Coturnix japonica: one gene and its partners. The protein of the gene in region 2 interacts with the protein of the main gene of each other region in a biochemical or structural test. Links are inferred from orthologs where the notes say so. Each region holds a gene or a part of one and is shown on either strand. Other genes may lie near its edges.

Region 1 (6,210 bases), on a different chromosome or scaffold from region 2:
TCCCTGGGCTGGGGCTGCTGTTAGCAAACAGGCAGCAGAGGCAGAGCCTGCCCCAGCTGTGCCTCACTCAGCACCTCAGCAACCAGGGACTGCAGATAACGTCTCCCACCACACGGTGTGACTAATGGCCAAATGTGGAACACCTGCATGTATATGTGTATTAAATTATTATCATCATTTCCTGCTTGTTATTACTAACTTTTGCTCTAACACCAGGATTATTATTGTTTCTTACTTCTCTTTTTAATTCACAAAACTGAAAACTACCAACGTGCTGAAAGAACAACGGATCTGCTTCTCCTTGTGCTAAAAGCGAACCTAAACGCACACGTCTTGCAAGTTACTGTGGCTGAGAAGCCTTAACTGATCTTAGCATCAGAGCACACCCTCCCAGCCTGCCCTACCAGGCGTTAAAACACGTTGTCTTAAATCTCACTGCAGCTGGGGAGAATAAAAGAGGGTGCAGAGCAGCCAACAAAGCAGCCAACAAAGGAAAGTCACTCCACCCCATTCAGTTACACACCTGTCCCTCCGCTCCTAACCTTAAAAGGGTACAACTGCATCACCTAACTGTGACTGATTGTCCTTGTGCTCTGAAGTTAGGATCTATGTTGCCAAAGTGCACCAGCACAGGGCAGACACTACAGAAACATCAGGTTACACTACATCAGGATGACCCAAGTGCTTCAGCAACATGGGCACGTGTGAGAGCAAGGGGTGACAGCAGTGACATAGCGGCACCACAAGCAGAGCAGCCCGCTTTCCTGCTTTGCAGCAGGCAGTTGGGGTTTGGCTTTGTTGTTTCCCTTTGATCGAGTCACCCACACTGCACACTGCTTACAAACTGCTTTCATGCCTCACTGAGCATTGTTCAAACCAAACCTTCCAACGCGGTGCCACACGTTGATACCCAAAGCAGCACCCACTATGGTTGAAGTCTCCTACATGCAGGAGGCTGCTTCACAGCCCAATACATCTCTCACTGTCAGCAGGTTTCCCTGATGGTTGAGCCATATTTTTCTTCTGTTGAGCTTCCTCTAATAAGAGCCTAAATAGCTCCTCTCCTCCCTTTGGATGCCATTAGAGAGCTTTAATGACCACTCAGGAGCTTGCAGCTGAACTGAGTTCAATGACAGCATCCGTTGTGTCAGGTAACTTGGCCAAAATTGAGGAAATCACTGCAGATTTACACCAAGATAATCGAGATCTGCAGCTTGCTGCAAACTGTTAATAAATAGAGGGGAATCAGAGCCATTTGGTAAAATCCTTAATGACTTAACAGCTTGATTCATCTCATTGTTTGCTCTTATTATTCCTGTCTCATGGTGAAAACGTGTGGGGGAAGCAGAGCTTGTTTTGGGGCTTAATCAAGTACCAGCCAAAGCTATTAGACTCTTCAGTCATTTCAAAACTTAATTAACATTTTAATTTCATTTCAACATCCATCCCTGCTCTTTTACGGGAGAATTTTTAAGAAAGTAATTACTAAACTTAGTTTAAAAAGGGAAAAAACTGATTTGTCCTTAAGATAAACGCATACCCTTGTAGAAATTAGGAAGGAATTAAAATAGGTATTAGATGGAGATGAGCTGTATCTACTGGGTATATGAAGACCCTTCAAAAGGCTGCCTTGCAGCATTTAAGTGCTTTGTTGTTTTAAGTCTGGGGAAATGGAAGCTGAGTGAGACCACACTGATTTCCCTGCAGCAGAGAAGACAGAAGCTCCCATCTCTCCCATGTTAGCACCCTGCACAGCCGCAATATGACTGGGACAGCATCTGGACAGCTTTCTGCAGCCCTAGAAACCAGCAAGATTCACTTTCCATGAGGTTGGATGGGGAGCCAGGAGCGGCAATAGCAACCCTATCAAAGTGTTCCTAACTACAAGTGTGGGAACAAAGACTTGAAAAATGCAGAGGACACATTCGTCCTCCATGGGCTGCGGCGCGGGCAGCTCCTGCCCCAGAGTTGCTTAGTGATACCGTTTTATTTTTCATCAAGCAATAATTTATCATCTTTGAGGGGGTGGAGAAAATAGCTCATGGAAATGACTTTGTTCCACAAGGTTTTAACCCTTGGAACCCTGGTACTTTCCAGGCTGTTTGCCAATTCAATTCTCAAGGGAAAAAGTGTTTGTTGATCTCTTGGCATGCTAAAAACCCATTCAATTCATCAGACCTTGGCACCAGCTTAAAATAAAAGGAGCATCCCTAATGCGGGGATACGAGCGGTAGGAAGGATTGCATTTATCTCACTGCCAACTATGCACTAAATATGCTTCCTAACAGATCGGCCACCTCCTACATTCATTATGATTTTGAAACTTTGCAGCCTTCTCAAAGGTAACTGAAGGGAAGCCAGGCAGGGAGGTAAATAGCACAGACATGGGAGATAGAGAAATGCACTGAGTGCCCTTCTGCATCCTCAGTGAATACTCAAAGAGATTAAATGCACTGCCTGAGCTCACACAGGCAAAGGGAGAGTGAGAGGCTGAGTACCTGAGCCCTAAGGCACTGCTGTGTCGCCATGCAGTGGCTGCAATGGGATGAACGTGGCATCACCAAACCCACTGGTCATGCTGGGGAGGGTTTAGGTGGGATGCTGAAGCAGAGAGGCTGCTGCCGACAGTCACACTGCTCCCTCTTAGATCAGAGCTGCTATTTGCAACAGCAGGAAGATGTGAATGGGTGGGGGGGGTTAATTAGGTCATCTGTTATTCCACTCACGTATTTCCCTCTGTGAAATAATAGACCTACAGTGCAGCGTCATGGGCCAGATCCTCAGCTAGGGCAAAGCATAGGAGGAAAGGGTAGGGATTGTAGGCCCAGCTGTATTTGGTGTCTTGCTCCAGACTCCCCATATGACCTATGGAAGGATGCAAGGGACCAGCCTGCCCAAATCTGCTGGTGTTTTGAAAATCCCACTAAGCATTAAGTACTCAGCAGCTGTAGAAAGTTAAGAGAAACCAGAGATTCTCTGTGCCTTCACGTGCTAAGCATAAAAAGGTGATGATAGCACTGGGCTGCTTTCTGGTTTGGAGATGCACATGGCACCCTGCAGCTCAGGGCAGGGGCCATGAACAATCCCAGTGCTGGGTGCACAAAATACACAGCAGACATCCATGGAAATCACACCCCTTGGGTGAGTGGGGCCATTCCCTGATGCAATCATCTTGGTAGCCTTAAATATCTGGCTTACCAGAAAATTGTTTACAGGACAGGCAGGGGTGAGATCAAAACCCCAGCTGGATTAGAGGCAGCACGAACAGGCTGTAACCAGGAAACCACCCCGGACCCAGCCCACAGCCCCCAAAGGTGTCAGTTGACAGCACAGGATGGGAAGTTGATGGTAACTGTAATAGCAGGAGAGTGACCGCATGCAAAATGGGGATTTAGAGGATAATGGGAAGGGGGAAGGCCTTGGCTGCACTGCTTGGGGCCACACGGTGCCCACTGCCCCTATTTGGCTGTGAGAGGGGTGCAGGATTTTGCCCATCCCAAGCAGCAGCAGCAGCAGAGCTGCACATTGCTGTGGCTGCCGCACTCAAGGCTCCTGACTCCAATTCCTCCCATAGGCAAACATACGCAAAATGCTCACCTGTGGCATTTTCTGCCCTTTGGGGATGCCATTGCCATGGAAAACATGCGGAGGTGAGGCAACAAACCTCGCATAGCATCCCTCCAAAGACAGAAAGCAGTCCTGTCTGGGGGGGCAGGTCAACCTGCCCTCTCCCTGTCTGTGCACCCAGATGTGCTGGAGGAGCCGGGGGAACATCTGGGCCTGGGCACCTCTCTGGTCCCTTGCCCCATAGCGAGCACAAGCAAAGCCCCACCCCACAACCAAAGCTGCCTCTCAAGAAATAGAAGGAACTGCAAATGTAACCCGCTGTAAGAATGCCAGGGCGCAGCCTGCTACCTAGAAGAGGCTCCTAAGCACACATATCGACTTGATATACTCCATATATGAAATTAAAAAGGACTTATAAAGGGAAGCATCAGCTCAGACACTCGTAAGGCACTGCAGAACTATCAGCAAACACACGAATCAGCCACTGGGTGAAACTGGGAATGGAGAGAAAGAGTAAATCCCCAGCAAAACAAACCTTCTATCTATCATAGAAAGGAACACAGGTACCTACAGCCCACAACAGCCTTTAAAGCGACTCTCTCCCCACCACCACTTACTACTTATCTGGAAGACCAAGGAAAAAGCTTATGTCCTCCACGGCTCCCCACACTTGTCTCCGGTCTCTCTCCAACTACCTGGTGCTATCCTCTGCGCCGGAGCTGGGGAGGATGGAAATACCATAGTGTTTGCAGCAGGGCCGCCTATTCAAAGAGAGGGGGAGTGGTCAGCCCTGCACGGGCGGTGGGGAGGCGAGCCCCCTGCGCTCCGCTCTCGCTGGCAGATGTCACGCTGTGACCCTCACCACGGGGTGTGAGCTTTATCGAGCTCATTCCCAAAGCTCCTCTGGGCTGCCCCAGCTTTGAGGTGACTGCTGCCCAAAATTGCTATTTCTTCCTCAAAAGTCCCCTGGGCACCTCAGGGTTTCCTGCTCCTTTGCGCACAGCAAACACCGCAGTGCTTTTGGATGCCACCCTCTCCCCCAGGCATGGGCAGGATCCAGCTGCCAGGCTCCCACTGCCCATTTGCAGACCCCTCGGTGCACGCCTGCTTTCTTTTTACAATCACAAAGGCTGCATTAGTCTCCCTTTCTGTAGGGTACCATAGTGGGGAGAGCACTCAGGCAGCTCTGACTCAGCCCTTGCTGCTGGAGGCCCCACTAGGGCACCATGGGCTGCTTTGCCCCAGAGGGCAGGGCTGCTTGGTGGCTGCAGTGTGCAGGGCTGCTAGAAGAGCAGGGGAACGCTTTCCCTGAGCATGGAAAGAGATGGGGACAGAAACAAAGGCCAGAGCACATAAAGTCTTAAAATGTGAGGTTAAATTCCTTTCTGTCCTAACAGCTCTGGATCCCACAGCCCTGCATTACCCAGTACCGAATGCAGGAGGATGTGCCCATGTTGCAAAGCTGCCTTTTCCTCCAGGAGAGGGCTCCAGGCTGGAAATGCTCTGCACTCCAGCACATGTCCTTGCCACGCAGGAGCTGTCAGCTTGCTGGAAGGTTTGCAGCATCTCCACAATAAAGCAAAAATGCAGTGTGCGTATCTAAGTGCTATGGCTGGAAGGGGGGGGAGAAGCATTGCTCATCCCAGGGAAAGAAAGAACTCTCCCAGTTCATAACCTGGCATTTTGGTTACTCGCAGCTGAGTGGCTATTTGAAAAGCATAGACTGAAACTGTACGATATCAGACACGTAATTCCTGCCTGCACAGGCTTCTGTGGCATCTAATGCTGCCAAATGCCCCACAGTGAAATCAAATGTGCAGAGCTGTGGTGCATGAAGGACCCTCCTGCCCCTCACCTCCCAGCCCAGCAGAACCTGGTCTCTCAAACGCACATAGTGACAAATAGCCCTCCAAAATTCCCCCACAAACACTGATATTGAGGCACATAAAAGGTATGAAACAGTCCTTTGAGGACTTTCACTATCTCCTAAAAGAAGAATGGAGCTCTGTGTCAGCCCTTGCCTTCACTCACTTGCCTTGCCTGCACAGAGCTGCAGGTGCCATGAGTACACGTTACCTGTTGAACTCGCAGCCATAAGGCACGGATCTCTTGTGTAGCTATTTTAACTCAGGAAATTATTTACAGGGCTCCATCTTCTCAGGAAGGTTTCCAGCCTGCTGGGCTTTGGTACAAAGACTCGGTCACGTCTGAGCGCCAAAGGAGTGGAATGCATCCAGCAATCAATTTTTATCTGGGCAACTCTTCCCAAGGCTGCAGGATAACCCTGCGGGCATCTGTGAGCAAGATGTCTTTCTTTCCCTAAGCTGGATGATGTGCTCTGCAGCAGAGAGCTTTTCCAATACAGTAATCTATGTATTAATAGCCTCTGCGTTATGGCTGTCCAGTCGACTGTGTGTCTGCAAAATGGAGAGGCTTCTGGTTTGAGCTCTGCTGTGTGCAGGTCACCTCTCTTGGTAAAGGTACTGCTTGCACACGGTCGCCTGGTTTGGGGGTTACTACTGCTTCAGCCACCCGAATCCATTGCTTCAGCCAGCAGCAAGAAGTTGGGTTAAATTTAGGGCAGCTCATTCAGCTGATAAAGCCATAGTGCATAAAGAAGTAGTTTCCATTCCAGATGGTTTG
Region 2 (5,998 bases):
GTTGGTGTTGTTACAAGAGTATTCCTCTGACAGCAGCAAACAGCATCTAAACAGCACCGGCCTCCATGCTTGGATTACGATGTAGGATTCTGCCACAGTATCACATTTTACACATCAGGACAACCCTTCGTGTCATTAACTCCATACAATTTGGGCAGGGAAAAAAAAAGTCAGAAGAAAGCTAAGTTCTGTGCTTCCTATGAGGAACTGATCTTTGGATGCACATCAGTTGGAAGTTTCAGAGTATCGCTATGCTGACATTAGTGGTCTGCTCTTGTCATTCTGTGATGTGACCTTACACATGGCAGTCACTGCAGAGAAACTTCTACCTTTTTGCCCTTAAAATATGGATCAGGACTGTCTACAAACGTACTGATGTTATTGCACTCTAGTTAGTCTGTAATAGTTTCTGCTCCTTGCTGTTTGGCCATCGGCATCAAACAGAACATCTGCTCTCTCCTCATATACACAGTTATTGAAGAGAATGAATTGGGTGCCACATGTTGAGAAGGGTGCTATCAGAATCATATCAAAATCATTCCCCCCACCAGCTGAGCAGCATGTCTCTAAAGTAGATGTTTACATTGCTGTGCTAAGAAACAAGATTACATTAAAAAGACACGGGAAGTGCCAGGAGAGTTGCTCTCATGTCTTTTCACTTCCTGCTACGTTGTTTTCCCAGTTTTCCTATTGCTAAAGAGTTCAGAACCTGCAGTAACAGCCAAAAGGATTTCAGAGATAAAAAGTTTTTTTCCACTGACAACAGCATTTTCAGATATTAACAAGGATCACCTTTCACTGCAGAAAGACTGCATAGGAACGAAGGTGAATATTTCTACTTTTGAAGTCTAGAGCACTTTTGTTGCAAAGGAAAGCAAACAGCCCCTTGCCTGATCCTGCTCGAGGGCATTGGCTTAATAAAAAGCATGCAAGAGCACAAGCAGCCAGATACAAGTGCAAAGCAGTTTCACACACCGGCTTTCTACCATCTCTAGAGCCTGCCTAAAGCCAAAGTCAGCCGCCCCAGCAGGGCCACTACAACACACAATAACCTCCCAGGTTAAGGTTAGGAACTGGAACTCCCAGACAACTCAAAAAGTTCTGTTTGCTCAGTGCTCAGGATCTGGTTCCCCCCGTCTCCTCCTCACACGTTCTCCAGGACATGCCTGCACTTACAGAGCGAGTTTCACATAATCCCTGCCCTTTAGAGTCCAGCATTAAGGGCATTTTCCTAACTCACATACTAGCAATAATAATAATAATAATAATAATGAAAAAGGTGTGAGGAGGAAATGCATTTTAAGTATTTTATTTTTTTTTAAATATAATAGAACCTTCTAGATTTTTTCCAGAAACAGAAACATTAAAAAAATTATACTTTATTACAAATGGTAAACTCAGAGTGCTAAAAAAAAGCCTCTTATTTACAAACAATACTGGGCAGTACCCAAATAAACAACATAAAAATAACTTACAAAGTCATGAAGTAGTTTATTGACATTAATCAACTTTCATAAAATAAAATAAAAAAGGATATGTACATACACCATTTACTTGAAGGCAGGAACAACAGTTCTTGGTTGTTTATCAGCCTCCCACAAACCTCCCTCCCGCTTTTTGTTTGTTTGTTTGTTTCTTAAGGAATACTACATGAAGCAATCTACAGTTTCTATTGCAGTTTAACCTTTAATACTGAATGATCATCGAATGTTAGGTCCATGCAGGTCTTGGTCAATGTTAAACGAAGATCTGTCGCCTCATGGGAGCAGGATCAGCACCTCGGAGCGGTGCCGGCTGCTTCACCAACTCGAGCTGAAGGCTGCCCAGTCTTTGCACACATGTGCTTTGCAGCACGCAGGCAGGACTCACAGCCTCCCAGCTTCTACCGTGAGCTTTACGCGTCCGCCGCTTTTGGTTTGTCGTTTAGTTATACCACAACATCACAGTTCCTATTGAAGTCAGTCTCTTCAAAACGTTTGCAACTGTTGTGTTAGCATTAGCTGGCACCCGCTGTTGACATGGTTCATGACCTTCTGCTTAAGCTGTGCAACCTGTTCTCTGAGCATGTTGGCAGTGGATGCCAGCTCTGAGTTCTGGGCTTTCAAAGTTTTCACTTTTTCTTCCAACCTGGCAATCCTTTCCAACTTCCTTTTCCGGCATTTGGACGCCGCGATTCTGTTTCTCATGCGTTTTCTCTCGGCTTTGATTCTCTCCTGCGACTCCATGTCAATAGGGGACAGGGGAGGGGTTTCCCCCGGCATTTCAGGTACAGTCTGAGGCTCTTCTTTCAGAGCCTGAAGCCTGGGATGCTGCACTGGCATCTGGGGGTTTATGTGATGCTGCGGCGCGTAGCCCATGCCGTTGGCATTGTAGTTGGGTGCGGAATTGAGCGCGTTGGGGTTGAAGTTGCTGAGGTTGGCGTACACCGGGGGCTCGCTGTGCAAACTCGTGTTGAAGCTGCCGCCGCCGGCCATGGAGGACACAGGTGCCATGCCACCGCTAACAGGTTGCGCGGCCGAGGTGACGCTGGGCAGCGTGTTCTGGTTGTGCAGTTCCGCCAGCGCTCTCACGAAGCCTTCGGCAAACCCCTCTTGTTCGTCGGTAACGTTCTTGGGGCACAGGAACTGCGTCGGGGTCGGCGTGGTGGTGATTAACCCGTTGCTGGACTGGATGATGAGCCGCTCCAGCTCCGGGGAGGCCAATTTCAGCAGCCCCACGTCGGGGGAGGTGAGGATGTCGGCGTTCTTGTTCCGCAGGTGCGGCTTCAGGCTGCTGGCCGGGTCGGACAGGTTCAGCGTCATGCTCTGCTTCAGCACCTTGGCGTTATTATATCCATAACCGCCGCTCTCCGGCGGCGCGAAGCTGGCGTTCAGTGCATCCTCGTAGAAAGTAGGCTCCATCTTTGCACTCATAGAACAGAGCCCAAAAAGTGGCGCCGGGAGCCGCCCCACACCGCTCCCGGCCAAGCGGCTTGGGGGGAAAGAGCAAGCCGGAGCCTTCCTTACTTCTCGCCGGGACAACGCCGCTCCTCCCGGCGCGGGCCGGGCCCGCCGGGCCTACGCTGTGCGCTGTGCGCTGTACGCTGTACTCTGTACTCTGTGCGCTGTGCTGCTCCCCGGGCCGCCTCTCCGCGCTGTGCCGGGCCGGGCCGCTCCTGCCGCCGTTGCCGCTTGTACCTCCCGGCTCCGCGCTCCGCTCGGCCGTGCCCGCTGTGGCGGCTGATTCTCGCTGCCGCCCGCCCCGCTCTGAGCCCGCTCGCTCCGTGCAGCCCTTCACTTATCAGCGACCGGGAGCCCGCTAAAAATAGCCCATGATGTCACCCCGCGCGCTCCCCATTGGCTGCCGCCGCCCGTCCCGGGGGAGGCGTGGCGCTGGCCCGGCGCGGTGCATGGCAGCCGGTCGCCATGGACACCCCGCCCCTAGAAGCTTCTCAGCGCCGGCGCGGGGCCTTGTGGGATGAGGTAATGCTGCCGGCGGCGCGGGGCATTGTGGGCTGACGTCTTGTTTTTGAATATCTGGTTACCGCGGCCCGAGCTCCGAGCGGGGTTGGGCGGCTCGACGGCCTCGTACCAACCAACCGCTGCCCTACCGGGTACCGGGGCACCGCGATGCCGCCCCGAGCCGCCCCGCGCCCTCAGCCCGTGCGTTGTGCTGCGCTCGGGGCCGAGATGCTGCGTGCGGCGGGGCCGGGCCGCGCTCCTCCGTTCCACGTCGCGTTGAGTCCCGCCGCATCGCCGCCTCCTCCCCCCCCCCGGTCCCGTTGTTGGTACGGCCCTGAAGGTGGCGCTCCGGGGGAGCCCTCACGTGATTTCCCCGCCTCGCTGCCCCCGCCGCTTCCAGGCAGGGCCGGGGCGGGCGCGCACAGCGCCGGGGCCGCCCCCGCCCCGCACGGGGGCACAGCGCAGGGCGGGCGGCGCTGGGGTGGGGGCGGCTCGGCCTCGTCTCCTCCCGTCCCGGGGAGCCCCGGCGGGCGGGGACGGGCGGCCCGGCTGCCCTCAGCCCCGCCTGCCTTCAGCCGCTGCGGTGAGCGCTGTGTCTGTTCCCAGGGCCGGGAGCTCCCCAAAGTATGAGAGGGGAAAAAGCTGCCGGGAAGGAGCCTGGCTCTGGATGGGTTTTCCTAAAGTTGTCCTCCCGGTTGTAGAGCTGTGCTGGTATTAGTGTGTGAGCGCAGCTTGGCCAAGGGGAACGGCTGGAGATGGAGGGATCCGGTCGGGGAGGGAGGTTTGTGCTGCTCCACAGCTACCGGGGACTCGCAGCTCGGCTGATGGACGGGACGGGAACCCGGGGCAACAAGTGCTGCCGCTGCTGCTTCGCTGCTGGGCTCCATCGCTTTGTGTGACATACGAAGCTGACAAACTTAAGTCTCGGTTTGAAAATGCACTTTAAAACTCTTAAGTGCTATTTTTTTTCTTCTAGATGTAATAACATAATTAGCACTTAAAGTACGGGAGGGAGCAATGTAATAAACAGAATCAAAAAGAGCTGTGAATTAAAAGTGAATGTCTGGATGCACTGACTGATAGAAGTTACTGCTCCTTTTATAGAGTCATCTCCCGGTCCTCCCTGCTGTGCACACCTGGCTGCACTCAGTGTATCCACTTCACCCATGTGCTGGAATCACACAGCCAATACCTGTGCATGTTTGTGCTAACAGTCAAGTGAATTAGTTTGCCCACAAATGTGGGCCTTAGTGTTTGCTGCAGGTGTGTGCACAGCCTTCAGGTAGGCAATGAGCACCTGTGTGCAGGTAATTCCAGCTGCCTCTGTAGCTCCAGCAGCAGTTACTGCATGTGTATAGGAAAGCCTCTGAAAGTCGTCTGTGTTAGAAGCAGCTTCCTAGCTCCATCCTAAGCTTTACACACAAGATAAATAGAGGCCACAGCCCGACTCCTGGCACAGGAGTTGAGGTACACTGAGCAAAACTGGCAGATGGAGGGCTCAGAATGAATGAGGGAAATTGCTTTGCAGAGCTGTTTGCCGTGGAACACCTTGGCAAGAGGGTGCTGTGCAGAAGGAAGGATTTAAAAGTGATTAGATGAAGTCACAGGAGAGAAATCTCTCAAGGGCTGTTGAGTGCAGCCGATCTCTGGCTCTGGAAATCCTAAAGCTGCAAATGACTTGTCTGGGGGAGCATCCCAGGGCAAAACCTCTGCGTGTGTGCCCTGCTTCTATGTGCCTCAGGTATCCAGCCTTGGCGACTACGGGGTGTCTGCTTGGGGCCGTCCTGGTGTTCTTGCTGTGCCCGCACTCCCACTTAGTCTGTAAATGATCCGGCTGTGTTGTGTCAGCACGCCATTTTGAGACGTGTAAAGGGCTTGTCTATGCAAAGAAGAAATTCTGGAGAAAGGGAAGACATGAATTTGAAGCGTTTTGCTGGAGGTTTTTATTTTAAAATGGTTTTTAAACCTAAAGGTTTTTATACGTGTGGTTTTTGTTGCGTAGGAAGCCGTTACAAGACTTTTCCTTTAGTCAGTTTTCTGTATAAACAAATAACCCTGACAAAGGTTGTTCCAATTAACTGTTGACATATTTAATTTGTCGGAGTGTCGTCCATCTGTTTTATCCTAGAAAGCCACATTCAGTCTGTATATCAGGTCGGTGTAGCTTTAACCCCTCGGCCTGGTCAGCAGCCCCTTACAGCCCGTCCACATCACCCCACCTGGGTGGATGCAGGATTTTCATTGCCCTCAGTGAATGTTGGATTAGGCTGGAGATATTCATTCCAAGTCATTTCATTTCTTTGTTCTTTTTTTATCCCCAGCCCATTTTAGTTCTTTTTTTACTTCCTTCCTTTTACAAAGGTGCAGTTTAGGACTAGACATTCCAGTTTGCCAGAGACGTGTTGCTACTGAGGCCCATAGCTATGGGGGACACCCATCAGTCCACTCATTACGTTAATTACTGCTCACTTAAAGGTTACCTGGTCGAGGCTGGTAATAGGCAGCCAACTTGCCCATAAAGGTTGTGCGTAGCAGGAGAGCTCTGAAACCCAAGCCCG
Region 3 (6,108 bases), on a different chromosome or scaffold from region 2:
AGTAGAAGACATCCTGTGGGACTGACGTTTGTTTTGGATGGCGAATCTAAGTTCCTCTTTCACCAGTGGGGTTAAATTTGTGAAATCATCAAACCCCAGTGACCCTGCGGGGGACAAAGTGGGAACAATTGCGGAGGCGCTGACTTCTAATGCAGACACCTGGCCGGTGTGTTGGACCATCATTTTGCTGAAAAGCAAAAAGAGACAGGAATAGCCTTTCAGCAGCTGTACAGAGGCAGATAACATCTACTAGAGGTCGATTTCATACTGTGAAATAATATATTTATTGCATTGCTTCAGCCCACATTCACTTCATACCTCACGAGAAACAGTTCAGAATTTGATCACTAGTAAAAACTTTCACATCAGGCTCACCTCAAGGCAGCGTTTTAAAACAATAACAAAAAACAGTAACCAAAGAATTATTATTATTATTTAATACCCAGAAGTATCTCCATCTTCACAGCTACCCCACCACAAAATCACAGCTTGAAATGGACGAAGCACAGCTTCATCTCAACTACACTTCAGTAAAGATTAAAGTTTTAGAGAAGCTGAATTTTGCTAACCAAGACAGGATCAGCTACAGAATGCTCACCACATTCAGCTTTACAAGCAGACAGAAAAATGTGTCTCGTAATAAACTCCTGAAAAGCAGTTCACAATCAGAGCTGTTGGAAAGGTGGAAATCTACTCATGCTCTGGAGCTTTGAGGCACAAACTGGGATAGAGGGAAGGAGTAATGAAAAACGTAATGCCAATTCCTCCCTTTTCGCTCGTAAAATCCAAAACTGTCCTCACGTGCCCTCAACAACAAGTTTTTAATTCTTCAGTGTTTATGGCCAGATCTCCTGCGGATATAAAGCTGTGTAATCAAAGAGACTTTGGCTGAGACTTTGGTTAATGGGGCACCCACGGAGGAACTTCATTTCTAGCAGTTTTCCAACAAAAAGAAACTGATCTAGCAGTGGTCTCTGCTTTCCCCTTTTTAGCCACCCTCAGTCTTTTAGCCAATTTTGGAAGAGGTGCCCTACATGTGTACAGCTTAGTGAAAAGTGGTAACCCCACTAAGGGAGAAACGCACAAAACTCAGCAGTCAGCCAGCCAAACACCATGGGCAACCCAGTATGAACCACCCATCCCTCAGCAGAGGCGAGAGAAGAGGTCTGGAAGAAAGCTGAGCATTTTGTGTGGCCAGCCCACAGGACAAGAGGTGCAAATCCATGGGAAAATAGATTGTATTACCTCCTCTAATCATAAAGCAACTTTTGTGCATTGGATTTTGCTGTATTGCTTTTCCTGCTTTCCTTATTGTGGAGGTTTTTGAGATGTTTGTTGTCTTGGATTCCCTTGGTAATGACACGACACGTAATCTATTCCTGTTTAAAGTTGTAATGATAGCAAAGTCGTTGTAATTAACGTAGTGCAGGTAAGCAAATAGTTGCCTTGGGACAGCAGTGTGGGTAAGTTAAATTTCCACGTGGACAACCCCAATTGTGCAGTTCCCTGTTTGCTACTGCTGTGACATGGCAAGAAGTGGTTGGGGTCACGTGCCTTGACAAGAAGATAGATTTCGCTCAGAGATATCTAAAAATATACTGTAAATCCACATCGGTGCAAATTGGAGTAGAACCCAGCTCCTCACTAAGCGAGGTAAACACAAAAATCCAAGGGCAGTGAACTGCCAGCAGGTAGAAAACCACTTGTCCAGCTGCAGAGGTTTCCTCACTTTGAGTCTCAATGACCACAAAAGAGCCAAAGATTTCCCACATCCCAGGGGTGAAACGCTGAAACCACTGAAATCAAAAGGAGTTTTGCTGTTGACCTCAGTGGGGCCAGGATTTCACCCTTGGTTGTTAAATATGAGGAAATAATTAGGAACAATTTGTTATTCAGAAAGACCTTGGGAAATTTATGTAATTCTCTTCAGAAAGCCCCTGCTCATGAGTCACATTTAAAGTGCCGATACATTTTAATACTATAATCTCAGAAAGCCACCAGTTACTTTTTTCCCCCCGAGTCAGAAAGGCCCTGTGATTTCCAGCTGAACTGCTGGCATTATTTAGCACTTCCCAACACTCAGCCGTTCAGCTCACTGAAGCAGCCAGACTCCGTGACACTGAGCCCCCACTGTTCACACAATTTGGAGCTGTGCTCCCTGACCGTCGGTCTGCTCCTCTCCTGCTGCTGCCTTCATTCAAAACACTTAATTCCATATAACTCAATCAAACCAGGAGATTTCAATTAACAATAAAACCATTTCTCCAGCACATGGAATAATTAATTGGGCCAAGCATTTCTCAGCATGGTGGGAGGGTGGAGGGGGGGGAGGTTATTCGTTTATATTTCAGTTTAGGTCAACTTTAATTAAAGTCAGCGCCAGAGGAAACGAAGAATGCCCGTGTTTTAGTAACGTGCCTGAGAGTTGCTCTTATCTACCAGGCAGTGCTATTCCTACAAGAGCTAAGTGCACCACGACCCCCAGTGCAACCCTACTGTAATGTCCTCAGGTATCTATTGATCCACTTTCAGTTTATAAAAACATGGAAGGGAGGCTGTCACTGGGAAGGGAAGCCCAGAAAGAGCAGTGCCCTTGTCTGCACGAATCGTTGACCTCCCAGGCACCCTGACAGCGTCTCCCTTTACCCATACTTTGGAGCGGGGGCCCTGCCAGAGGCCAGGCAGGCTGGAGGGGTCCTGTCCCCAGCCCACCACAGCTGGCAGGGCTCCTTGCCCCACGCTGACTCTCCAGCGGGGCTGGGGCCGGTACATGGCATGGCAGGATTCCTTCCAGTGCACGGCTTTGGTGGTCGGGAGTGACAGGGATGTCAAAAATAATTAGCCTGTGCTGAAGCCAATAGTAAGCCAAACAGATTGGCTTTCCATAACAAAAGGTAGATGTTTTCCAGTTTCTGAGGAACAGATCTACTTTTAGAAATGCGTTATGAGGATGGAGATTAGATTTTCCTAATAAACATAAACCGCAGCAGTTTGCCCTTTCTTCTCCCAACTTCTGCACAAATTGTTCCTCTGTCTGTCAGCTTTCAAGAGTGTCATGCCGCTCTTCCCTAGGTCTGCACAGCAATAGGGATATCTAGCCTCAAATTGCAGTTACATCTGGGCTTCCTGATCCTATCTGTTTACTTCATTAGACCGTGCACATGGATGGCAGCTCCGGTCTATTTTGAGGACTTCTGAAGTTACTGGAACTGAAGGTGTCGAACATTTCACAGACCTGACCCATAAAGGCACAGCTTGCTCCCGCTGCGAGCTCACGCTTCTTTACTTTATTCTTAGTTTGGCAATTCCCCGGGGAACATTTCTGCTATTGCTGGTACCTTCGGCTTCAGGTAGATTCAATCAAGTCTGCTCCCGTCACTATGCTTTGTTTGTTCTTTTCTCAGCGGCTCTTTTCATCCTCACCAAATCTACCCATCTCCTCTGCCGATGTTTTCGCTTCGGCACACGATTCCTAGCCGTGCACTTCTGTTAGTTATGCGTATTCCCGAACGACTTCTCGGAGTCTTTCCGCTCGGCTGCTGACGGCTGACCTCTCGGTTTTGCTTCTTCTCATGAATTCCTTCTCCTCTGGTGCTGATGCAACAAACGCCGATAACCATTGAGGTTAATCTTAAACAGCATTAAGGGCAATTACAGTTCACAACCTCCGTGCACGCCGGTTGACCTTAAGCTTTCTGACATCCCACATCACTCCCGAACCACTTTCCGCCGGCATCCACCCGCTCAAAAGCCAGAAGAACCCATTTCGAACGGGAAGCTACTTCTCTCTAACAACTTTTCTATCGAGCCACGCCTGCCTCGCTTAGGCGAGACTTCAGCAGCCGGTCTCCGTGTCGGACATCGGCACAGAGAAAGAACCGCGCGAGTCCCTACCGCTTTTCCTCCCGGTGGTGCGGGCTGCCCGGCGCCCCGCAGCCGCTCCTCGGCGCCCCGTTGGCGGTCGGAGCGGCGGTCGGAGCGGCAGCGCGGGCGGTCACGGCCGGCATCCCCCCGGCGCCGAGCCCCGCGCTGCCCGCCCCCGCGAGGCGCCGAGCGGCACGGCCGGCCCGGGGCAGCCGCTCGGGACTCCGCTCCCGCCGCACCCCGGGAGCGGGCTCCTCCGCTTTGCCGGCTCGTCCCTCTCCCCGGAGCCGTCCCGCGGTTCCTACCTTGGATCCGCCGCCGGCCGGGGCTGTTCGCCGGCCCCGCCGCGCCCGCTCTTCCTCCCGTGCCCGCTCCGCCGGCGGGAGAGCAGCGCCCGCTCGCGCTCCCCGCGCCTCTGCCTCTCGCCGCGGTTGCATCACCCCCCTTATATAGCCGAGCGGGTAGAGCTGGTATTTACTCTGGCGGCGAGTCCCGGGCTGATGTCATGCTATTAATAGCTCCCGGAGGGCGGGCGGCCGGGCGGGGGGGCAGCGGGGCCCGAGGCGGTGATGCAAGGCTTTCCCATTGCACGGAGGGCGGGGCGGCGCGGCCTCGCTCTCCATAACAGGAGCTCACCGAGCCGGGCCGGGCCGCCGGGACCCCGCGGGACCCCCTCCCCCAAGCGGCGGAGCGCCCCGTGCCGGCAGCGACCCGCGGGACGGCAGCGCCCGGCACCCGGCACCCGGCACGGGGCCGTCCTCCCACGGCGCTTTCTTTTCCCCTTCCCTTTTTTGTTTTTTTTTTTTTCTTCTTCTTTTTAACAGACTTCAGGGGGCGTCCCGACTTCTCAGGCGTGCGGGACTTAGCCGTGCTGCTTTATCATAAATCAGAGTCCTTCTCACGGCTCGGAGACGGTCAAACTAAGTGAAGGCAGCGCGGCTTTCGAAAGGACTAGAAAACGGGAGCCCTTTTCGCCCCCAAACTGTTGAACGCCCCCTCCCGAAAAAAGCCGAACCACCCCGCGCTCGCTCCGTGCCGCTCCAGCTGACGGCCCGAAACGCTTCCCCGTATCGGGGCGGGGGGCTTCAGTTCTTAGCCCGAGGAAACGGGGAAGGAGCCGTTTAATTAAATTCCAGAACGCTGAAAATAAATAAATAACTTCTCCCCTTCAAACGGCGCAGCACGCGATGTCGTTCTGGTTTCGGGGATAACCGGAGACTCCCCGTAGGAGGCAGGGGAACGTGTTAGTGGCGGTGGTGAAGGGGTTTTGTTTTGTTCTTTTTTGTTCCCACAGCTTCCTGGTTCGGTAAGTGACAGCAATTGCCTTCCAAAAACGCTAGAAAATAGACGTATCAAAAAAGCACCTATCCGAGAGCGCGAGGCTCGCAGAGATTTGCACAGAGTTATCCAATACGATAATACTCCATCCTCGGTTCATACAGACTTGTTCTCTTTGGGTCTCCCTGCTAAGAACGGGAAGAGCTTGGAGACTCGTTTATTCACTTACAGCACAGACCCCGATCAGCCCTTCAGGCAGTTAATTCATTTTGCAGCGTTCACGGGGCTGCATTTGGTAACGGGTAACACGTCTCGAGTGGGAAAAGCTGGCACATATCGATAGCTTAGAGCATTTAACCGAGGACACGGATTTCTAACATTAGTCTGAGCCCGTCCGTACCTCACCTCTGTGCGCTGTGTCCACACGGGTGTATGTGTGCATACATCAACTCACACGCTGACCACCCAGATGGGAAGCGTACTCTCAGCTTTTGAAATGTCACCGTGCTAGCACGCTCAGCTCTGCAAACACAGCGTTCCTATTTCAAATTTAATTGCCTGCCTTGGGGGGGAAAAAAGAAAAGCAGGCAGGTCGGTGCTGCTGGCTCTCCTCCTGCACAAGGTGCGGCTGCTGGTGCTCCCCAATGGTTCGGTGCACTCTGCTGGCACAGGAGCCAGCCCTGACCCACCTGGCAGCTGCTCCTGCTGGAGGCTCAGGCGCTCACCTAGCGATAAATCAAGCCGAGTTCTTTCAAAACACGGTTATTTCTTAATCTAGGTAAATCAGAGTCAGAAATAACGCCAGGCAAAGGCTTTGCTCTTCACAGGGCTTGTCATTTCAGCTGGGCGCGCTCTGAGGAGCTGACGCTACTTCAGAGGCATAATGTTATAATACATGCCGTGTTCAGAAACAGCTGGCATCGTTTTTCTCAAGCCTAGAAGAAAAAAAAAAATAAAAAATCCCTC
Region 4 (6,213 bases), on a different chromosome or scaffold from region 2:
AGTGATTGGGAATAAAAGGGGGGGAAGAAAGGGGGCTATGATGAAGAAACGAGTAAAACTCAGAATCTCTCACCATCTCATTGTCATACCTTACACTGTAATAGCATAACTACATGGGGAAGGTGAGAACTAAAACAAAAATAAAGTGGTTAATGAGAAGGAAATGTGTTGACCCTCTTCATTTATGATGTTATCCAAACATTACTTTTCCCCTAAAATCAAAACAAAAGCTAGTTCCCCACACGAACTACTGCAGGCAGGTATTTTAGAAACTATTTAGTCCCTCACAACCCTGTAGCAAGAAACAAAGCTCATCGATTTTGATAATACTGGACACCCTGGCACCCCTATCAGGAACACATTCATATTTTGTTACGCATTTAGAGCTTTTTATGTTTAAATAAAATGTTTATTACTCACCAAACAATGCCCTGTGCCCCCGATCCTATGGGCTTCAATTGCTGGTAACGTTTTAGTACAGTGAATGTTGAATCTGCAACTTGAACACTGTAAAACTGACTATCGCATTTACTGTCACTCATGGTGTAGTGTCATGTAGTTTTCTCTCTCAAGGACCTGGTACAGGCTTCAAGATCTTAAAGAAAAAAGAAAACAAATGTACAATTTGAGTAATTCCAGGCAGACAAGATGGAAGATAGATTATGCATATTTTAACACATATGAATTTTTTAATAGCATACTATTAGATAAGCATTATTTCAGCTTCACTTACAACTACTGCTAATGAAAAACCCCTGCAGATGAGACAACAAATAACCACACCTTTCCCAGCTGTAAGCAAACATCTCATTCCAAGCCCCAACACAAAAAGCAGCTAAGTAAACAATTGTGAAAGCAAACAACACCCTCAGGCAACAACTCTCTCCTCCTCGTAGGAGACTCCAGCACTCAGCCAACTTCCGTAACCCTGAGTTACTGCTATCACCACCGCACTCCTTCCTCCCGTCTTTAATACACATTGACATCCATGCCATCAGTTAGTGTACTTCAAGTCCTACAAGAATTAAGGGAGTTGGTACTACAGCTTGAAAGACCCAGCCACACTGTAACAGTTAGTTTTATCCCAAATGCATTACGATGATTGAGGACTGCTTTGTTTGAATGTTAACAATCCCCTTTAATGAAGGCAAAAACAAACAGCAGGCAAAAAGCAATTCCATTCAGGAAGTTACACTGCAGTTTGCCTCTCATCTGCCTTGCTCTCAAAGCTGCAACTGGACTTTCTGAGAGTCCAGAGGGCAGCAAGGAGCAAGGGGAAAGGACATCTCGTTAACTGGGTTACTTATGAGAAACAGACTAGAGGAGGAAGTGCACAAAAGACCAAAGAAAGGAGGAATGAAATAATGTATGAACACAATGGATGTGGTGATGAGCACAAAGATTCTGGTTAGACATTTTAGAAGATATGAAGGAAAGGGAAGAAGGAGAAACAAAGCCTGCTTTGCAAAGGTAGAAGAGGTGTGGTGCTCGACAAGATTCCCTAAGGAAGTTATGGGCTCTCCCTCTCTAGATGTTGGTGCTACACTAAAATCTGTCTGTAATTAATTAGATGTAGGTAATTACACCTGAGACTGAGGTAGTGGACACACATAATTTCACATGCAACATAATAGGTAATGCCATTACAGCCCAGACTAAACTACAAAGCCAAGAGTTCCCCGAAACAGGAAATGAAAGCAGATCACCTCCCCTATAAGCAGCTGGCCTAACCACCCAGCTGTGCTACATCACTTGTAGCTAAAGAGAGAGCAGTTATTCTCTCCCTCTTCACCAGTCTACAGAACAGTGGAGAGCCCATGCAAAGCAGAAGAGCCTCGACAGCAACTCAGAAGCACATCCTGGAAGGGCACAGGGCTACATGAGCAGCTTCTAGCAGCTTCAGGAATTAGAATATGGGCCTCTCTCAAGTAAATACTCAATCTGGTCATCTCTAGCTGCTATTAGACAGTAAGGAATGAACCCACTCTTCCTGTCTTTTATCATTCCAGAGCTATAGACACTGATGCACCACAGTTTTTGATTAACAACCCCCGATCAGCCCTGGTATTTTCTGTATATCTCCAAATGCTGGAACACAGACACAGCTGGAAAGACAAGACTAAGGAAAAGGCCAAGATTCTCTCTCTGAAAAGGGCTTAAAGAGGGGGAAAACAGTGCAGATGTGGATTACTCTGGAAATCAAATTAGGCCTGTTAGTTATGTGGGATCTATGCTGGTACTCCTTTATGGGTTAATGAAGATCATTGAAAGAAAGAAGCAGAGGGAAAAGGAAGTGATCCTGATCCAAAGAAACCTCACTGTAAGAAATCTCATCTGTACAAAGTCATCACTTGGAAAAACAGTTTAAAGACCAGGATAAGCTCTTTAGATAAGACCCAAAGAGGGATTTGTGAATCACAACACACAAGCTCTATGTATTCTGACATCCTCTGGAGCTCACTGTGCTGAGCACCAAGCCCCTCTCTGAGCCCTATGCTATGGGCTGCACGCTGCTTGGTTAGGACTCAGGTTACTTCAGATATACAAACTAATGCAAAACTAAATGCCACGAGACTGTAAGTATTGACATAATTTAAGTCTCAGTGTCTATTTGGGGGCTAAACCCACTGAATAAGGTTGCCCATCAACAGGGAAAAGTACATCTGACAAGTAAGTTTATTAAACCCCAACTGTTACACTGCTACCCGAGACCATCTGATTCATTGCTCCCCTTAGCAGGTACATAATGCATCCCACACATCTCCCATGCAGGAATCCTTTGAGAAGTTGGCATTACTTCCATGTAGGAAATGCACATTTTCATTCATGGCTTCCGAGCTGCAGCAGACAGGAGCAGTGCCAGACATGGGAGTCATTCATTCATGGGACAGTCAGCAAACATACTTCTGCATATTGATAAGGGCACTCAATTACGGTGCTTCAAGATAATTTTCCTATTTTTGAGCACGCATGAGAGGCAGATAAATTGGGTGCAGGTTTCTGTGTCTGTTTTAATAATGGGCTCATACAACCAGAAAAACTAAAAAGCACAAAGCTGATTTTACTCTATGCATAGAGATCACAAGCGCTTACAAAAGTGGTGTTCAGCCTCAGTTCATGCAGAGTAAAACAATCAAAAAGAGGAAAACAGACACACCAAACCTACCCCCAATGAATGTATCAGCTGTCATACAGAACTGCAGCAAGGAAGTATTTAGGGGTTGGAAGCAACCGCACTACAGTGTATGTACACACTGCACCAGTCACCTCTGCAAAAGGCACCTATTAAAATGGCAACTTATTATTAACCAGATCCATTCCCTGGATATTTTCCACGTCAAAAGCTTCTGAAGCAAACAGGTTGGAACAGCTAGGAACATTCCCTGCGCTGTTTTGGATACAGAAATGTTATCACGATGAACATCAAGAAACTGAACTTCAGGCTAAACTGCACTGGAGACAGAAAGAACCCACGGAGCACACACACACACACGGAGTATGAAAAGATAGGGAAACCACACTGAATATTCACCTTTACAAACGTACTCTGCAAATTAACCAATACTGGCTTTATCCGCTCAGTTCTCTGAGAAGCACCTCTGTCTTTAACCGGCCGAAGCTATTAGTGAGCAGATCACACCGACAGCCACCAGCCCCGCTGTCATTTAGCTGCTAAACAAACGCCGAAAGCAAATACTGGCTGCACCTCGGCCGGGAGACGGAGGGGAAAAGTTCAAACGTGTGTGTGCCGTGCAATTATTGCGCTGTGAAATCACGGAGCAGCCGTAGAGCCCAGCGAGCTCACGGGATTCCTTCACTCGTGCGGTTTCCGTCGCGGAGCAGCACAGCGCGGCCCCCGCCCCGCCAGCACCGAGCGCTGCCAGGGCCGGCACGGGGCGCTGAGGGCAGGGGCAGCGATGCGGCACGGGAAGGGCGAGGGGCACTGCACGGCCGACAAGAAGGAAGGGGCCCCCAGCTCGGCCCCTCCGCCTCCTTCCCCGCTCCGCAGGGCCGGGCCCGGGTCAGCGACACGCGGGGAAGCCCGGCCCAACCCCGGCTGCGCCTCGGCGGGCGGGGCCCGCGGGAAGAGCCAGGGAGTCCTCTCGGCACAGGGCCGGGGGGCTCGGCTCAGATCGGGGAGCTCCGGCTCCGGCCCCGCCGCCCGCACCGCCCTCCTCGCGGCCTCCCTCACCGTCTCTCTCCCGGTCAGGCTCCAGCGGGACGGGGCGCGGCGCTCGCGAGCCGCGCAGCCACCTCCGCCGCCGCCTGCAGCTCCTCCGGCGCGCAGGGCCGCCACAGCCACAATGGCCTCCCGGTGCTCCGCGCAGGCCGCGCCAGGCCTCAGCGCGCTGACGGACAGCAACTCTGACCAATCGCGAGCCCATACCGCGATGCTCAGCCAATGGCAGGCTGGAGGCGGGACAGAGCTGGCGCTATATAAGGCAGGGCAGCGGGGAAGGACCGCAGTGGGAGCGGGCAGGCTCAACCAATCCAGGCGCGGTCTCGGCCCTCCGGCGTGATGTCATCACCACACGTCAGCTTGTCACCGCGCTTCTGACGTCACCACAGGGCAGCGGTGGCACCAAAGTGGGACTGTAGGTGGGACTGTCTCTCCAGCACAGCAAAACAGGAGCATTTATTCAAATACACCCATAGTGCTCTTTACCAAACATACGTGCCACACGTGTGTTTTCTTATATGGTGATGTTCAGTTCTTGACATAACACAACAGCCCTCCTCCTTCTGGTGTCAGAGCATTGGTGCATACAAATGACTAAGGGGAAGGAAAAGAAAAGCCCCAAGACAAGAAGAATCTGTATAATATTTTCTTTAATTGCATATTAATTACATTGTACACACTTCAATCATAAGCACCTTTTGGAAGGTACCCTTATTTTGGCAGTTCCCTTATTTAATTGCCCTGTACAAAGCAGGCAATGAGATACAAAACGCTGCTGGGCCTTCTCATGGTGTTACAGCTGAAAGCAGGAGGAGGAGCTAAAACACAGCTGAGAATTGACAGCCACAGGAACTCTTTGCAAAAGGTGGTGAAATACAAACCAGGTGTAAACCATAGGAGAGGGGGGTAGGAAGATGGGAGGAAGAGAAGAACCTATTTCCAGTTTGAGGATGTAGTAGAAAAACCCCTATAAAACTGTACACAAACTTGCCATGAGCGCTGAGCATGTCAGCTCATTATTACCAATGCTATCGATAAGCAACATACTAAAAAAATAACTTAAGAAAAGCTATACAGTTGTACTTATAAATACTTTATCTTTAAAACTAGTTAAGTAGTGTAGGCTAAAAAAAAAACGTTCACAGTTACTCTGAAGAGAGCTGTATATATATATATATTGCACAGTAGAAAAGTTCATTCAGTATATCATGTGTAAACAATGATTTTTATCTTATCCTTTGGCAATTTTGGGACTTAGAAACATTTGCTGTGAGCAAAAGCACTTGGGTAACAAGGCACATTGGAAGCTTTTAAAGCTGCAAGGTAAATCCTTCTGACACCTGCCAGTTATCACTCTCATTCCCTTTGAAAAACGTGTACCTATTGATTCAGAACAACACATTTCCACAAGCATAACAGAGTCTGGTAACAAAAATATCCACTGTTCTTGGCTGTTATTCTACAGTAACCGATTTGGCCAGATTCCTTGGAAAATCCACCTAGAATGAAAAGACAGGCTTTCAGTGCGTGACAGAACACAACTGGCATTCTTGCTTTTGTGCTGTTTTGGTTTGGTGTTTTTTGCTTATTTAGAAAAGGATTGCTACTGAGTTCTGCTTTATTCTGGACTCGCTAATGCACACAAAAGAGTACGGATCTGTACATAACTCACTGTTGAATGCATCCTTACTTGCAAAAACCTCCCAACAAATCTGAATATATTGTTTTGCATAGGATGCCTTTCCAATGGGGTCATCATTACCAAACTGACACACCTAGACAGAGTCAACAAACTAAGCCATAAAAAGTAATAAACTGTCCTCTGTTAGAGTGCAATGTCACACTTCAATGCTTAGCTTCCGGAATAATATTATCTGCATTCTTCACAAATCAAACTAAGCAAACAATCTTTACATTTTTTAGAACCACCTTCCACACCAATTCAAGAAAAGGCTGAAGAATTGGCAGTGAAATGCCACCTCTACTACTACACTAAGTACCAGTCGCAGCAATTATTCTAGTTCTTTGTTAGA

Evidence for each region. The genes of interacting proteins can lie anywhere in the genome.
Region 1: the proteins of JUN (region 2) and ETS1 form a complex in vitro, tested with the Homo sapiens proteins (2 studies listed by BioGRID). The link is inferred for Coturnix japonica from reciprocal best matches to the Homo sapiens genes JUN and ETS1.
Region 3: the proteins of JUN (region 2) and ATF3 form a complex in vitro, tested with the Homo sapiens proteins (2 studies listed by BioGRID and IntAct, with this or other methods). The link is inferred for Coturnix japonica from reciprocal best matches to the Homo sapiens genes JUN and ATF3.
Region 4: of the proteins of JUN (region 2) and MAPK9, one has a biochemical effect on the other in vitro, tested with the Homo sapiens proteins (17 studies listed by BioGRID and IntAct, with this or other methods). The link is inferred for Coturnix japonica from reciprocal best matches to the Homo sapiens genes JUN and MAPK9.

What each region holds. Positions count from the first base shown.
Region 1 is NC_029539.1:785,646-791,855, forward strand, and holds the start of ETS1 (protein C-ets-1), read right to left. Parts: upstream 4,307-6,210; 5' UTR 4,185-4,306; intron 1-4,184. UniProt on the Homo sapiens protein: Transcription factor. Directly controls the expression of cytokine and chemokine genes in a wide variety of different cellular contexts. May control the differentiation, survival and proliferation of lymphoid cells.
Region 2 is NC_029523.1:23,598,345-23,604,342, forward strand, and holds JUN (transcription factor AP-1), read right to left. Parts: upstream 3,437-5,998; 5' UTR 2,913-3,436; coding exon 1,968-2,912; 3' UTR 1,343-1,967; downstream 1-1,342. UniProt on the Homo sapiens protein: Transcription factor that recognizes and binds to the AP-1 consensus motif 5'-TGA[GC]TCA-3'.
Region 3 is NC_029518.1:19,270,670-19,276,777, forward strand, and holds the start of ATF3 (cyclic AMP-dependent transcription factor ATF-3), read right to left. Parts: upstream 4,307-6,108; 5' UTR 4,170-4,306; intron 3,840-4,169; exon of another isoform or gene 3,595-3,839; 5' UTR 3,236-3,594; intron 188-3,235; 5' UTR 184-187; coding exon 1-183.
Region 4 is NC_029528.1:4,156,447-4,162,659, forward strand, and holds the start of MAPK9 (mitogen-activated protein kinase 9), read right to left. Parts: upstream 4,307-6,213; 5' UTR 4,193-4,306; intron 3,958-4,192; exon of another isoform or gene 3,533-3,957; intron 596-3,532; 5' UTR 543-595; coding exon 421-542; intron 1-420. Other genes in the region: GFPT2 (glutamine--fructose-6-phosphate aminotransferase [isomerizing] 2), read right to left, coding at 5,635-5,679. UniProt on the Homo sapiens protein: Serine/threonine-protein kinase involved in various processes such as cell proliferation, differentiation, migration, transformation and programmed cell death.